Rhinolophus ferrumequinum: one gene and its partner. The protein of the gene in region 1 binds, or shares a complex with, the protein of each later gene. Links are inferred from orthologs where the notes say so. Each region holds a gene or a part of one and is shown on either strand. Other genes may lie near its edges.

Region 1 (7,122 bases):
CTGAGAAAGGAGGTAATAAAATAATGTTTAGAAGCTGGGTTACCCAGCACACAGCTAGCAATGAAGATCTGATGGTCCAGTTGTTAAATATTGCATTGTTGGTGAATAGGGATAGTATGCTGGTGGAAAGGAAGGTACCAGCTGGTGGGATGGTATTTTAAAAATATGGGGGTGGGGCATAGGAACTATGATAGTAGAATTGGCTGACTGTTACTGAAAGCCAAGTATGAAAGCCGGAGGGCCTCCTTAATTGCATATGAAGAGGGCTTCAACACCTGCAGTGGGATGGCAGGGGAAACTGAGGCCCTGGACAATGATCAGAATAGTCTGAGCTCTAATAAGGTTTTACTTCCAAGCCAGGCAGGTCATCTAAGCCAAGGCCCTAGTTGGGAAATAATGGGACCAGACAGACATTTGGGTTGGGGTTATGATTGATGCCACTGAAGATCTTGAATGATCACCCTCCTGAGCCCTCTGAACCTGCAGAAATGGCTCACCATGCAGCTCTCCCATCTTGCTATTAGACAGTGCAGAGGCCTGTACCAAATAAGACCGCATCTGCCTTTACCTCCCTCCTGGATAGGCCAATAACTAGTATTAAAACATTACATAACCCAGTGGGGGACAGATTGAACCTGATAAGGGAGGAAAGGGACTATACCCTAAAGGTGCTGCAAGAACTAGCTAAGCACATAATAGCAAAAGCTGGAAGAGTAGCAAAACACTGGATTCTGAGAGTGCTTAATTAAGGGGACCAAATTGTAAAATTGGATTAAGGAGTGTTTATTGATTGGGAGCACTCTCCTGGGCCACAGAAATTATCACTCTGCTGAGGACCCAGGAAATGGTGCAGATTTGCTACTAGAATGACTCTTAAAGCATGGAAAACTCTACAGCCCACATGAAGTTAAAAAAAAAAAAAAGCCAGAGTTGCCAAAGCACATGGTGTAGGACGGGATTGAAAAGCTGAGAAGTACAAAGTGGATCTACTATATAAGATCAGAAATCCCCCCAAATGATTGTTCCATGGGAAGACCAACAGGATATTCCATTTACCAAGGCCATCAGGAATGTGAAGGTAAAAGGTGCACAGGCATCCCTGAAAGTTCAGTAGTGGTTCTCCTATGTAGGACAGGACTGACAGTAGAAGTTGTTACAAAACTCAGCTAACCACAGTCATGGGGTGACAGGACCTTGACACAGGCGGTCAGGTGGCAGCACTTAACTGCCAGAAGCCAGGTAGATGCAATTATTATGAGTGGAGAGCTCAGAAAGACAACCAAGGAGGCCTGACCCTCAGAGAATTATGGAGATGGTTAACAGAACATAGCATCCCCAAGGACAAAATAGATGGATAGCCAAGGGTGCTCTCCAACTTTGAATCAGGAGAAATCAAAGTTGGCTGATCAGGGGGCTGAGGGCAGTTGCCCCAATAAAAAGTGATCATCCTTTGTCCACTCTCAGATCTGACCCAGTTTTCAGACTCTGAACCAATTAATAGAGATAATCAGGTCATCAAAAGGAGGACCCTGCCTCACAGAAGGGCACCCGGCTTCAGGGTGGCTAGAAATGGGGGAGCTGGCCTGGTCGTTTTGGATCATCTTGGCCATGTTCTCAGTTCCAAGGATATTGTTTTGGGAGAGAAGTCTAGGGGTTATATCTTAGGAAAACTCCTTTGGAGTAAAAAGATAGCTGCGCCTTATTTAGGTTGTTTTTTCTACCTGAATGATGAACACCTATTCAAGATAACTGGTAGCGAACTGGATACCTAGGTATGTATTTATTTCCCCAGGAGTTTCTCTATGTATGATGCGATATTTTCTTTTATTACTATTTTAAGGCATGCACATTTGTGATATGTATTGTAAACCTGCTGGAGAAAATATAATTTACACAGTAAAGGGGGAAAAGAAAAAAGGAGCCAGAGACCAAGAACTCTGGGCCTGATTTGAGATCAGCCCGCCTGTGCCCAGTAATGCCTAGGAGAGACTGGGGTCTAACTCCCAAGTTCATTACCAGAATAAAGAATTAATGGACTCCAAAGTTTTGAGAACAGTTTCAAGTTGTTATTGCTTATGCTCTCTACCCTGTATTCCAAATCCCAGAGAGAAATCACTTCTGGAGCTGCCCTTTTTATGAGCTGACCTCAAGCTCAACAGGCATAAAACTGAACTTATTTCCCACATACATCCACTTCCTAAACCTCTCCTCCACCTGTGTTCTTTGTCTCAGCCAAGGGCCCACTGACCACCAGCTTCCTATGGCAGAATCTGAGTGTCATTTGTGTCTGGGAGCTCACCTTATCCCTCTCCCAACTAATCTCCAAGTCCTGGTAATTCTACATTCCGAATTATCCATCCACTTCTATTTCCACTGCTTCTTCCTTAGTTCAGGACACCATCATCTCTTGTTAAAATGACACCAACAGCCTCAATGGTCTCCCTGCCCTTAGTCTTCCCCCCTTCTAATGCGTTTGCCACACTACAGGCAGAGTAATCTTTTTAAAACACAAATCTAATTATGTTCTTCAGTTTTAAATCTCTCAATACTTTCTAATATAGCTTATTAGGCTCTGAATGATGTGGCCACCGTGTCCCTCCGCAGCCTTATCCCCACACACCATGTCATCTGTTCCGCCATAATGAACTTTCAGTTCCCTGAACCCAACTTTTATCGCTGGGCCTTTGCCCACGCGGTTTTCTGCTTGGTACAACTTTCCCTTTACTTTTCTTTTGGGTAACTCAGATGCATTCTTCAAGTCCCAGCTCAGTTGTCACTTGCACCACCGAGATACGAAAGCTTCTCCCATCCTCCATCCCTTGGGGCGGTCTAGGCGACTTGTGTCTTCCAGGAGGGCAGCTCTCGTCGTCCTCCACACTCCATCAGTATCGGACAGTTGAAAAGCTCCTCAGAGCGGACCCGGATGCTTACGTCTCCAGTCCAAGACATAGGTAGGCAGCCCACTAAGCTTCGGCCCCGCAGCAGAGACACACCCAAGCCTTCCAGAGGCCCTCGCGGGGAAAGAGAAAGTGGTCCGCTACCGGGAACCCAGCCCGGTGCTGGGCCCCGCCTCCCACGCTGCGTCGGGGGCGGAGCAGGGCGGGGCGCCGAGCGCCAGCGAACGGCGTGCGCCGGGAGGGGGCGGGGCCAGGGGCGGAGCGGACCGCGCATGCGCGGTCGCCTTTGTGTGGGTCGAGCGGCGGTGGCGGCGGCAGTGGCGGTCCCACTGGCAGGCGGGCTAGAGGGGAGTCCGGGCGGCGTCCGGCGTGGGAGCCGGGGGACCACCATGGTGAAGAAGCGGAAAGGCCGCGTGGTGATCGACTCCGATACGGAGGACAGCGGCAGCGACGAGAACCTGGATCAGGTGAGGGCAGGCCGCGGAGGCGCGGGCCGGCGGAGCGGGAGGGCTGAGTCCGGGCCACGGGAACCGGGAGCCGGCCGGGCCCGGGGCCTCCCGACCCGAGTGCCTAGCCAGCCCCGTTCCCTGACCGCCGCTGCTGCCTCCTTCCTATCCTCCCTGCATCTCCCGGGACCCATGGAGTCCCGCCGGGGCCTGGAGATTGAGCCCCGAGGACTTGGCGCCTTGGGCGGGGAGGCGGGGCAGGGACCTGGCTGGTGGGCCTCGGGTTCGGGTTCGGGGGATCGGAAGGGTCCGTCATCTACCGGGACCAGATTGGTGCGGCGGGCTGCAGGCCAAACGATCCGGGCCGGGAAAGGTAGGAAGTATCGCCGGCCAACCTGAGAGGCTGGGAGGTTTTGGAGGAGGTGCAAGGGGTGAGCGTGGGGCTTTGGGGTTTGGGGGGGGTAGGTGACGAGAAGGTGCGGACTCTGGAAGATGAAGTTTTTCAGACAAGGAGTGTGGACGGAGAGGAGGGGCATTCGTAAATGTTCCGGAGACCCTCTGCGGTGCTTAGCGAGGAAGACTTAGCTGCGGGCACGAATCTTTTTGGCAACTAGGGTCGTTCGTGGTTGAGAAGGGTCCCTGATGAGATATCAGACTGAAGAAAACTCTTAGAAGAAGGAAAGAGGTCAGAAGTGGAGCAGTACATAGGGCGATATGGAAGGACTGAGACTAAGATCTCTTAGCCGTTTTCATGCAGCATCCCAGAATTCTTTCTTACTTGAAGATTGTGCAGGAAGTGTAGAAAGTAACTTTTGGTCTCAATGTCCTGGGGGGGTTGCTTGAACTGTTTATATACTCTAGAAAAGCACTGTAGGGAGGAAGCTGTCTTTGTAGTAATGCTCTAGTGATGCAAAAAAGGGTTTTCCCCTGTGTTTTGTGAACAAATGATACAAAGAATATACAAGAGTAGTAGCTTTGTAAGTTGCGTAGGGAGAGTACTGAACTTGGAATCTGAAAATTTGAGTTTTAGGATGGGCTATGCTGTTTTCTAGCTATATCTTTGGTCGTAACTGTAAAATCTAGGTATAACATTAGCCTTGTATATCTATCAATAATTGTGCTATCGTTAGGATCAAGTATTTGTACGTAAGAATGTTGGTACAAGCAGTTGCAAATAAAGCTTTTGTGTAGTGGCTTCCTGGGCGTCATTTGTATTAGGCCAGAGGTCTTAAGACTAAAATATTGGGGCATGGAAGGGGAGGACTTTAAGAGGAGGGGCTGGAGGTGTGTTGAAGAGGGTTATTTTGAAAATGATGGTATGGGGTGGGGAAGTCATGGGGCCTTTGGAGAAGTATCAAAGGGATAGAAATCTTGTTTGGGGATACGATTGAAAGGTAAGTTAAAAATATTCTCAATGAAAGGCTCTTGAAATTTGCAAAAATATAAAAAATATATATTCTTGACTGTAAAAGTTTGGTTGATAATTTTAGACTGACACTTAGGAGAATTAGAACTTTTTTGTTTTTGACTATTTTCTGATCTAGAAATGTAGTTATTTCCGATAATGACATCGGCTACAATTTACATAGTGCCTAGGGTGAACTAGTCACTTAATTAGGTGCTTTATTTAAATTGTCAAGTTTTCAAATTATGAAGTTAAGTATGATTTTCCCCATTTTATATATGAGGAAAATGGAGATTGAAGAAGTAACTTATCAAATTTACACAACTTGTAATTGGTAGAGTTGGAATTTGAACCCAAATCTGCACAACAACAAGGCGTATGTACTCTTTCCAATTAATCTGTTAGTCTTTTACTTTTTCATATTGCAAAATGAGAATGTGTATTATGGCCATTTTCCGTGTTGCTAGAATTCATGTTTGTAAAGTACATTGAATAGTTTAGAGAAAATTGGTACATCAATTATAAAGATTATTTGGGGGGCTTTCTTGGTAAAGCACTGTCAAGATGTCGGTTCTGATGATGAATGAAATAAGCAGATTATTCTGTCCTTAGTGATTTTCCACAGAATTCTGACAAATGAAATGAGTTGAGAGCTTCCTTTTGTGGTAGAGAGATCCACAAAGAGCTTTTCCAAAGTTAAGAATTGGAGGGGATTGCAACTTTAAACCCAACTCTATTTGTAAAAAGAAATTAGCATGAAATGTGTAAGTAATACCTAATACATTTTAACAGCAATTTCAACTTCCTCCTCTTCAACCACTCATTGTCATTCTTTTATCAGATGGGAACCAGATCAAAATTCTCTTTCCCTGCACATCTTAACAGAGTGCCTTCAATCTACCTGTCTGTTCAACACTGTGCCAGGCTGTCAGAGGAATCAGAGAAAAATCTCTGCCCTCTAGAAGTTTTCACTAGAAATCTTTAGCAGAAGTTCAGTCAGCCTGCTTTGGGGGTCTTTAAGAATCCTGAGAACAAAACGAATGCATTCTGGGCCTTTCCTGACCAAGGTGCCTTGGACTGCTCCATCTAGTTCTAGGTCTTCATTTGGGATTATAGCATCGTATTTGTTGTCTAGTGTATTGTACTTGGGGAAAAGAACAAACCATGACAACTCTCTGAGTGTCTAGGGTGAGAGTGGAACATAGGAGGTCCTTTATCCCTGGGTTTTCCCGATGGGAATCTAAGCCATTATGTCAGAAGTATTATCATCAACTTAGTCCTTGCTGAAGGTGAGGCAGGTGAGTCTTCTACAGTGGTTTTTTTCTGGTGGTGGGAGGAGGGCCACCTGTGTGAGAAGCTACCTGGGTTGCTTATTTAAAATGTACTTTGCAGGGGCTCCCATCCCAGACCTACTGAATCAGATCCTCAGGGGATAGAGCCCTGGACTCTGCATTTTTACCAGGTACAGCCCAGGTACTTATTATGTTAATGCTTGAGACCACCTCTGATGCTGATCTTTTTAGCAGGACACTCTTAAGTAGTTTGGGAGAGAAATAACTTCGTGTCTTGAAGTGTGTGCAGGTATAACTGAAAGAAATTAACAGAGATGTTTAAGGTGGCAAAGCTGGTGGTTCTTCTAGATCTCTGAAGCTGTTTGAATTGTTGGATGCTTTTTATTGAGGCCTGTTTTTTGTATTTTTTTTTTGCCTTGCTTCTTGATGGGAAGAGGTATGTAGTAACTAAATCAGAGTTGTTTAAAATCTGTTTTAACTTTCGGTGCTTTTAAAAGCTCAAACCTTTGAGAATTCGAAGAATTTCTTTTAACATGTGACCTGATAGTGACTTTACTTTTTATGTTGGCCACACCCTTTCTTCAACATTTTAAAATTGCAAATCATGAAGATACTTGCCTTTGGCACCTCTTGGAAAAAAACAAAACAGAATTTGAGGGAAACCTAGGCTTTTTACCCCATCATGTGCCTCCATGGAGATAATATGTGTCACTCTTTATGAAATAATATTTATGCAGTGGGTTCTAGAAAATGAAAAGCATCCAAGATAATAAAGGAATCAGAGTTCTCTATTCAGAGTGATAAAGTTCAGTATTTATGAAAACTTTACTCTGCCTTTTTCAAGGAAAAAAATTGAGCTACATACATATTGGATTACTTGAGTTTATTTCTTTTCTTATTTTAAATGATGCTTATGTTGTCATGTCCTGTTTTTCTCTGCTCATCCTACTTGAAGTGGCAATGGTTAAATTTATCTTTGAGAGAATAGGCCCCCTAAGTACTTTTTAGGAATTATTTTTAGATATTACATGTAAAAAAGTATCATTGTTACAAAGTATCCTTCCATAAACCTTCCCCATTCA
Region 2 (7,638 bases), on another chromosome or scaffold:
TGCCTTGCAGAACAGTGAGAGAAAAAAAATCACAAAGAGGGACACTGTTCCAGGCTAGGAAGAGGCAGTGGATCATGGCTACCTTGCATTACATGAGTTACATATCCAGCTCCCTAGTAGTACCTGGGGTGAAAGCAGGGCCTTTCCTGGAAATTGCTGTGTGGTATACCGGTGAGTAGGGTCTCATGGCACTGGACACCAGGGTTGGAGGTTCCTGTGTCCCAAATGTGATATATGAATAGGTGGTTGTCAATGTCAAGGGACCATGAGGATTTGGCCAGTACCATTTTCACAGAAACCAGTGGTAAAAAAAAACACAACACCCTGGATCCTCAGAAAGGATCCTTTCTGAATGTTTTGCTCTGGGTAAGACTCTTAGATCTCTGTGAAAAGTCTTAATAACATTAAATTTTTTGCCACACTAGAATTATGGGATTCCAGGTTAGCCAATGAATAGAAAGTTCATTCAAAGAAAAGTGTATGGCCCGTCACAATTTATACCAATCTCCATTTTTACATCAAATTTAGTTAATGGCATAGACTAAATCTCAAATTTCCGGAGTCCCAGGCAAGAAAATTAGAGTGGATTAAGTGCAATGAACACAGAAGTTACTTAATAAATCAGTGATTTTCAACCTCTCCTGTGCACAAGAATCATGTGGGGAGTTTATTTGAAATGCAGTCTCTTGAGCTCCCACCTGAGATATGTGGATTCAACAGGAGTAGGGTGAAACTTAGAAATCTGCATTTTAATAGCACCAAGTGATTCTGTTGCTGGCAGTCAATGGACACATGTTGAACATCACTGTAATACTCATTTGCTGAATAAGCTGAGGTCAGACAATTAAGTTTGTGAACCTGTTGCAAAGATGTTGCTAACCTTTTTTGATTATCAGAGGGATTATTTATTAGGAATTTGTATCAAATGGGCAATCAGTTAACCAATTTTACTGTTTGGAAGTGCTGAAAAGGCTTCGTGAAAAAGTTAGATGACCTGAACTTTTCACCAACAATTCCTGGCTCTTGCATCACGACAATGCACCAGCTCACACTGCACTGTCTGTGAGGGAGTTTTTAGTCAGTAAACATATAACTATTGGAGCACCCTCCCTACTCACCCGATCTGGCCCCCAATGATTTCTTTCTTTACCCAAAGATAAAGAAAATATTGAAAGGAAGACATTTTGATGACATTCAGGACATCAAGGGTAATACGATGACAGCTCTGATGGCCATTGCAGATAAAGAGTTACAAAATTGCTTTGAAGGGTGGACTAAGCACTGGCATCAGTGCATAGCTTCCCAAGGGGCGTACTTCGAAGGTGACCATAGTGATATTCAGCAATGAGGTATGTAGCACTTTTTCTAGGATGAGTTCTTGAACTTAATTGTCCGACCTCTTATGTACCAATCCTAACCCTAACTAATGAAAGGCCAATTCATCCATGGTATAAATATCCTGAAGATATGGGCTCCTTTGGACATTTGTATGGTATTACACAGTGACTAATTAATAATGACTTAGTTTCTTTCCTTGCATCATTTTAGACTGTACTCAAGCTACTATGTTTCCCCAAAAATAAGACCTAGCCAGACAATCAGCTCTAATGTGTCTTTTGGAGCAAAAATTAATAAGACCCGGTATTATATTAATTATATTATGTTGTATTATATCATTATACCCGGTCTTATAGTAAAATAAGACCAGGTCTTATTTTTTGTTCCAAAAGACGCATTAGAGCTGTTTGTCCAGCTAGGTCTTATTTTCGGGGAAACATGGTAGTTCTATCTTTTTCTTTAAAATATCTGGGGAGGACAGGGAAAATTTTATTTTTTTTTACAAGTTACAGTTTCTCAGGGACTAGATTTAATCTTTTGCCTCGGACATCTAAATGGAAAATGGAAGAGAAGAGATAGTAACATCTGGGGGGAGGTTCTATATCTAATGTTCTATGAAGACAGAAGTCAGTAACATAATTAACCAGAAACCTTGAATAAATTTTTTGTTTTGCTGTCATTCAATTCATTGAAGTCCCTTACTCCTCACAAAGAAAACTTTCAGGCTATGACTTGTATCAACCCCCTACCTTGTCTAGGAGGACACAGGATTATGAGCCTAAAATACTAAAACAGGACAGCAAATATTTATTGAGTGCCTAGTCTTTGGAAGGTACTGTTATTAAAACAAAAATATATGGATAGCTTTTTGATAGATTTTTGACAAGTATTGAAACAAAGATTTTTGCTATAACCAACATTTTATCTAAATAGTCCAAGGCCACTCAACTGGTCTCCATGATCATACCAGAAAGAGTGTATTTATGTAGATTTATAGTTTACAAAGTATTTTATGGTTTTGTAGTGCTTTTATGTGTACTATTTCACCTGACTTTCAGAATTTTATTCAACAATCTTCCATCATTTGACAACCCTTGGGATAATCAAGATGTAGTCATCCTCAGGGACACACAACCCAGACGGAGGTCTGGACAAAAAGGCAGGGAATTTAAACGCAGAGTGAGTATGCCATAAAAGCAAAAGCCAAACTTAACCTATCCAGGGTAAATGTGGGAAGGCTTCCCAGAGGAAGTGACATTTACGCGAATATCCGAAAGAGGAGAATTTGGCGCGCGCTGTGTGGGGAGGGAGAGATGCAGGGATGCCTTTCAAGTTGAAGGAAAGGCCAGTGCAAAGGCCAGGAGGCAAGAAAAATCAAGCAATCAAGACTGGACTTTAGGTCTCCTACATTCTTTCCGCCTCTTTCCATTGCAACTGGAGACTTGATTGAGCCCTGCATGGACCTGGGAGCTGTTCTCTTTAGGTATTCAAGCCCCTTATACATCATTCCAGAAGAGTCCTCCAACACTTGAGGCTACAGAAATCAGGGCCCATACCACCTGGGTTTCCGCCTACCTTGCGCACTTCCCCAGCTCCCACCGGCACCACACTTCCATCCCTCAGGTCAGCCCCAGCCTCACGCCCGAGCGCCGCCATCTTGAGGGCTCACGTGACTAGCGAGTGGGCGGGGACCGAGAACGCCGGGAGGGAAGTGGTCACGCCTCTCTCCCGCAGTCCCGGCCCGCCCGGCCCGCCCCGACTTAGTCAAAAGCCGCGCCCTCCATCCTGGCTGTGATTGGGTGCGGCTTCCTGAAATTACGGCCTCTCATTGGCTTCGAGGAGGTCCAGACTCCCGTAGGCCCGCCCCCCCGCCAGCCCTGCATTCCCTTCTTTTGCTATTTGTTAACCTAGCTCCCTCTTCTCCCATCCCGAGGGAGACAAGGGGCGGTCCGAGCGCAGGGATGTTACTGCGCGCTTTCCTCTCTTCTGGGCACCTCTGTTAGCTGGGGCCGAGCTGCCCGCCCCTCTCACTCCTTGAGGGAGCTCAGCCTTTGGCTTGGCCCAAGTGTTAAGGCTCTGGCTTCTCAGGCACCTCCTCCCCTGAGCCCACCCGGCCGCCAGGGCAGCCCCGACTGGCCTCCTCCCCTCGCAGCCGACTGACTCCTCTTCCTAATCTTTAGTGCCCTCATCTTCCATCCTTTCACTCCGCTTGGAAAGGGACCAGAGGGAAATTTGCCCCCTAATTCCCGAGAAGACCCCCGTGCCAGCCAGTGTCTCGGGGTGGGGGGCGCAGCAACGAGGCCTGGCGCCTTTCTGTGCACGCTCAGTGCCCAGCAGTATCTCCCAGACCAGCAACCCCCGACCCTCCAGCCTCCATGTCTTAGAGAAGCCAAATCCGAGAGTTATATAATTTCTAGTGCTGCTGTTTCTCCTGCCTGAGGAAACACTTCATCGCTTGGAGGGTGCAGGACATTTCTGTGCTCTTCTATATAAGAATGGGGTGTGGGTAGGGGTGGCCAGCGGTAGCACAGATTTCTTGTCTTTTCTGCACAAGGAAGGTGGGTAGTTTGGAGAGAGATTGAGAGAAAGGGTGGATGTGGAAGCCAAGCAGCCGAACACTCTCATTTAGGAAATCGCGAACTCTCTCTGCACAGCTTGTGCTCACATGCCTAATATTACTACAGCGTCTCAGAAAACACCTTTGCGGGAAGGTTTGACTTCTCTGGAGCAGTCTCAGTGTTTTTCCTCGCTGGATAGGCAGCTGCTTGGATGCGAAGAGATGGCATGATGTGAATGACTCCAGTGTGAAGAAATTTGCTTCGCCAACTCATCCTGCATCAAGTGCCCATTGAGTAGCACTGTCACTTTAATGTCTCCATGCCAAGGGATTGCTTTCCTTCTTTTCAGTCCTCTCGGTTAATACACGGGAGGATCAGAATCAGAGGGGCATTAAGGATCAAGCCTGAGGGGCTTGGACAACACAGAAGAAAAAAAATGAAAGTGACAGCAAGCTGGATCCTGTCTTACTGAGGGGGCGAGATCTGGAACTTCTGGTCCAGTAAATAGAAAGGGGCCTTTCAGTCTGTGTTCTGCCCCAGGAAACTCTTCAAACTCACCCACCTTTTTAGAGACCAGTCAAAGAGGTTTTTAAAAGTATTTTTATTTTTTGGAGGGGTGTTTAAATTTTTCTCTAAAGAATTGAGGATCTTTCTCATCAACCAGTTCATTTTTGAATTAGATCATGTATTGAGTAATGAAACAGCTTTGTAAATTTGGTTTGTGCCTTAATTGAGTTATTCATTGATCTTCAAAAATGTTGCTGCCTGAAGAGGAGTTTTAATAATATTTTCTATGCTTACAATAATTTTATTAGCTTTTTAAAAAACAGAATATTTTATAAAAATTGAAAAACTTGAAAAACTCAAAAGTTATTTTTCACTAAACTCTGTGGGCAATGTCAAAAGTTTAATTGTGGAAAAGATACGCTATTTTTTCTTTACCTGAAAGAAGACAGCCTGGATTTCAAAACTAAACAGGTGAAGTGGTTTGCAACAGTTACCTGGCTCTTGGCTTCAATCCAGTTGGATCGAGTTGAGACCTGAAAAGAGATCCTGCATCCTGTGACAGTAGAAGGACCAAGAATGCCAGTCAAGAAGAAAGGTGGGCTATGAGGCTTTTATATAATATATGTTTCTCCCTTTTCTTGGTTCTGGTATTTGCAATTTACATTGCATTCCATTTGAGAGTAAAATTTTGCTTGAGCTTGGGGAAATATTTATTATAATAATGTCTTTTCTGTGGCACATCGTTTAGTAATATAATTTTGCTAACGTGAAATGAAGTAGGACTATAGTATTTAATTATAGACATTGATGACTTCATAAATCAGGTTGTCTAAATCACCATTTATAATGAGGATAGATTTGGTACCATAGATTTGGGATTTTCTTCAGCTTGTTTTCTTAGCTTGTTAAAGGTCACTTTTAAAAATCTTTAAGAACGAAACTTGTACAGTGTTCTTCGGCATGGTTTTAGTATTATCAAGTGAATTACATGGTTGTAAAAGATAGCAGAACTGCACTGAAAAAAATTATAGATTTATTATTTATCTTTTGGTTGAAAATAGATTTCATATTTGGGTTTACTCTAGTGTAAATCTTCACTTTTGTGATAAAGGACAATTTGGGTAACTGTGTGCTTTTTCAGATGTATGCAATATCCAATAGCATGATTGGCAAGTTCTTCAAGTGAGGCAAACACCTGACTCCTACCACGTATCCATTCCTGAAATTGATCAAGAGCCAATGGGTTCCTGACATATAGTTTATTATAGTTCAGATCTTGGGATTTACTTTAGCCTGGATCTATCCCAGGTTAACTTGGTTCCTAAGGATCCTAGTGAAACAAGGGAAACCAGCCTTTTTTTTTTTTTTTGGCCATGTACAGAAGATCAGATCAACTATAGTTTTCTCGAGAGTTTTGAACCAAAATTTATATGAACACCACTGAACTCTACTATACTGAGCTAGCATAGATCCAAATATTGCCCAGTTATATGAGTTGCTACAACCTGAAACTAAAGTTCAGGGTGATGGTTAAAGTGTAGCCTGGCTCTGCATGATGTTGAATCCGTCTACCTGTGGATTTGGAAGGTGCATTGAGAAAACTTATGATCAGTGAGATGCTTTATCCAACTGTTGTCATCTGTAGAGATAGAAAATGATATTTAAAATTTTTGAAACACCTAGCAATGTCCTTTTGTACACTGGGATTTAAGGCTGGGATTATTTCCTTCTCTCATTCCCAGTCTCGCTCATTGTCACCGAGAGAAGCACTTGTAAACTCTCTATGAGATTTTGGAGCCACACCTGTCTAGACCTGACAATAGTGGCTTGTCTGGAACAAGAGTGGTTTTGGTAATGTAGCCAATAAATGATATGGCTCTTTGATTTATTTAACTTACAGTGTATTTTAATTCTTTCTACCATTTATTGTTCTCAAGACATTGTCCCTATTGGACTACTTTATTTTAGACTTATAATTGAATTAAACACATTGCGTGAGTGTGTGTGTGTGTGTGTGTGTGTGTGTGTGTGTGAAAGAGAGAGAGAGAGAGAGAGAGAGAGAGAGAGAGAGAGAGAGAGAGAGAGAGAGAGAGAGAGAGAGACAGATGGGGCCAGGGAGAGGGAGAGAGATATAAAGGGATAAAAGGGAATCTAGGAAGGAGGAGGAGGAAGTGCAATTGATATTTTAGGTGTAACTTAACTAAGCCAGTGATCTTAAGGTTTTTAAACCCAATAGACTGAGTCTCTTAAGAGTTCCTACCTTTAAAGGAAGTTACAAAAATTGCTGATACATTATTGAAACTTATACTTTATGAGAAGTAATTTAATTTTTATTTCCCTTTTCCCTCTTTCTTCCTTCCTCCCTCTTCCCCTCTTTCTTTCCTCCCTGCGTCCCTTCCTCCCTCTTCCCCCCTTCATCCCTCCATCCCTCCTTTTCTCTCTTCCTTCTTTAACAATGAATTGCTTGTAATGGATCAAATTTTTAAGGAACCAACAAGTTCTAATTAGCAAAACAAGTATATATTTGGGTTATACTAAAGTATATGCATATGTAATTTACTTTATGAACTGATCTCTTTAAATCTATTTAGAAAAACAATTTATCTTGTTTTTAATCTCTTAAAACCAGAAGTATTAAGATATATTTTTGAATCTTTACACAACTAGCCAAATAAATTGTGACATGTGCATTATATTTTTAATTGACTAAGCTTACTTTTGTACTATTTCTAAAATATAAGTAAAATCTAACCTAGATTTATTCTGCAGAGAGTACTATCCTCTGTCATCTTGAATCTTTTTTCTTTCTTCATTGTGACATCTGGTAGATATGATGGAAGAGCTAGATTAATGTAATTTTAACAATAAATATCTTTATTGAGCCACATGTTTAATCATTGTTGAATATGTTCGTGTTTAAATAAATTTTCATAGGACAGATTTCATTTGGTGTTTATTTTGTATGTTATTATAAAAGTACAGAGGAGGTTCTCTGGTTGGTAACATACAACCATGATGGGAAGTGCGAATGGGTCTGACATCTCATTAAGTCCATTTTTTTAGGCACTATTGTTGACTGCTCTTAGATAAGCTAAAACTGCTGTACCTCAAACCCCTGTACTCACTGCTCTTTTGCTTTATGACACAACTTCCTACCTCCTCAACCCCACTCTTCACATTTTAACAGATCTCAGTTTTATCAACAGAAGACTCTTTATTTCTCTGTTAGAGATTT

The links. Proteins that work in one complex are often made in the same cells at the same time.
Region 2: NDUFAF1 (region 1) and TMEM126B share a complex: the UniProt entries of both Homo sapiens proteins name them as parts of the mitochondrial complex. The link is inferred for Rhinolophus ferrumequinum from reciprocal best matches to the Homo sapiens genes NDUFAF1 and TMEM126B.

Annotation. Positions count from the first base shown.
Region 1 is NC_046289.1:63,892,189-63,899,310, reverse strand, and holds the start of NDUFAF1 (complex I intermediate-associated protein 30, mitochondrial), read right to left. Parts: upstream 3,012-7,122; 5' UTR 2,621-3,011; intron 1-2,620. Other genes in the region: RNA polymerase-associated protein RTF1 homolog, read left to right, coding at 3,170-3,364. UniProt on the Homo sapiens protein: As part of the MCIA complex, involved in the assembly of the mitochondrial complex I.
Region 2 is NC_046294.1:58,590,494-58,598,131, reverse strand, and holds the start of TMEM126B (complex I assembly factor TMEM126B, mitochondrial), read right to left. Parts: upstream 3,011-7,638; 5' UTR 2,995-3,010; coding exon 2,914-2,994; intron 1-2,913. Other genes in the region: DLG2 (disks large homolog 2), read left to right, coding at 4,980-4,998. UniProt on the Homo sapiens protein: As part of the MCIA complex, involved in the assembly of the mitochondrial complex I. Participates in constructing the membrane arm of complex I.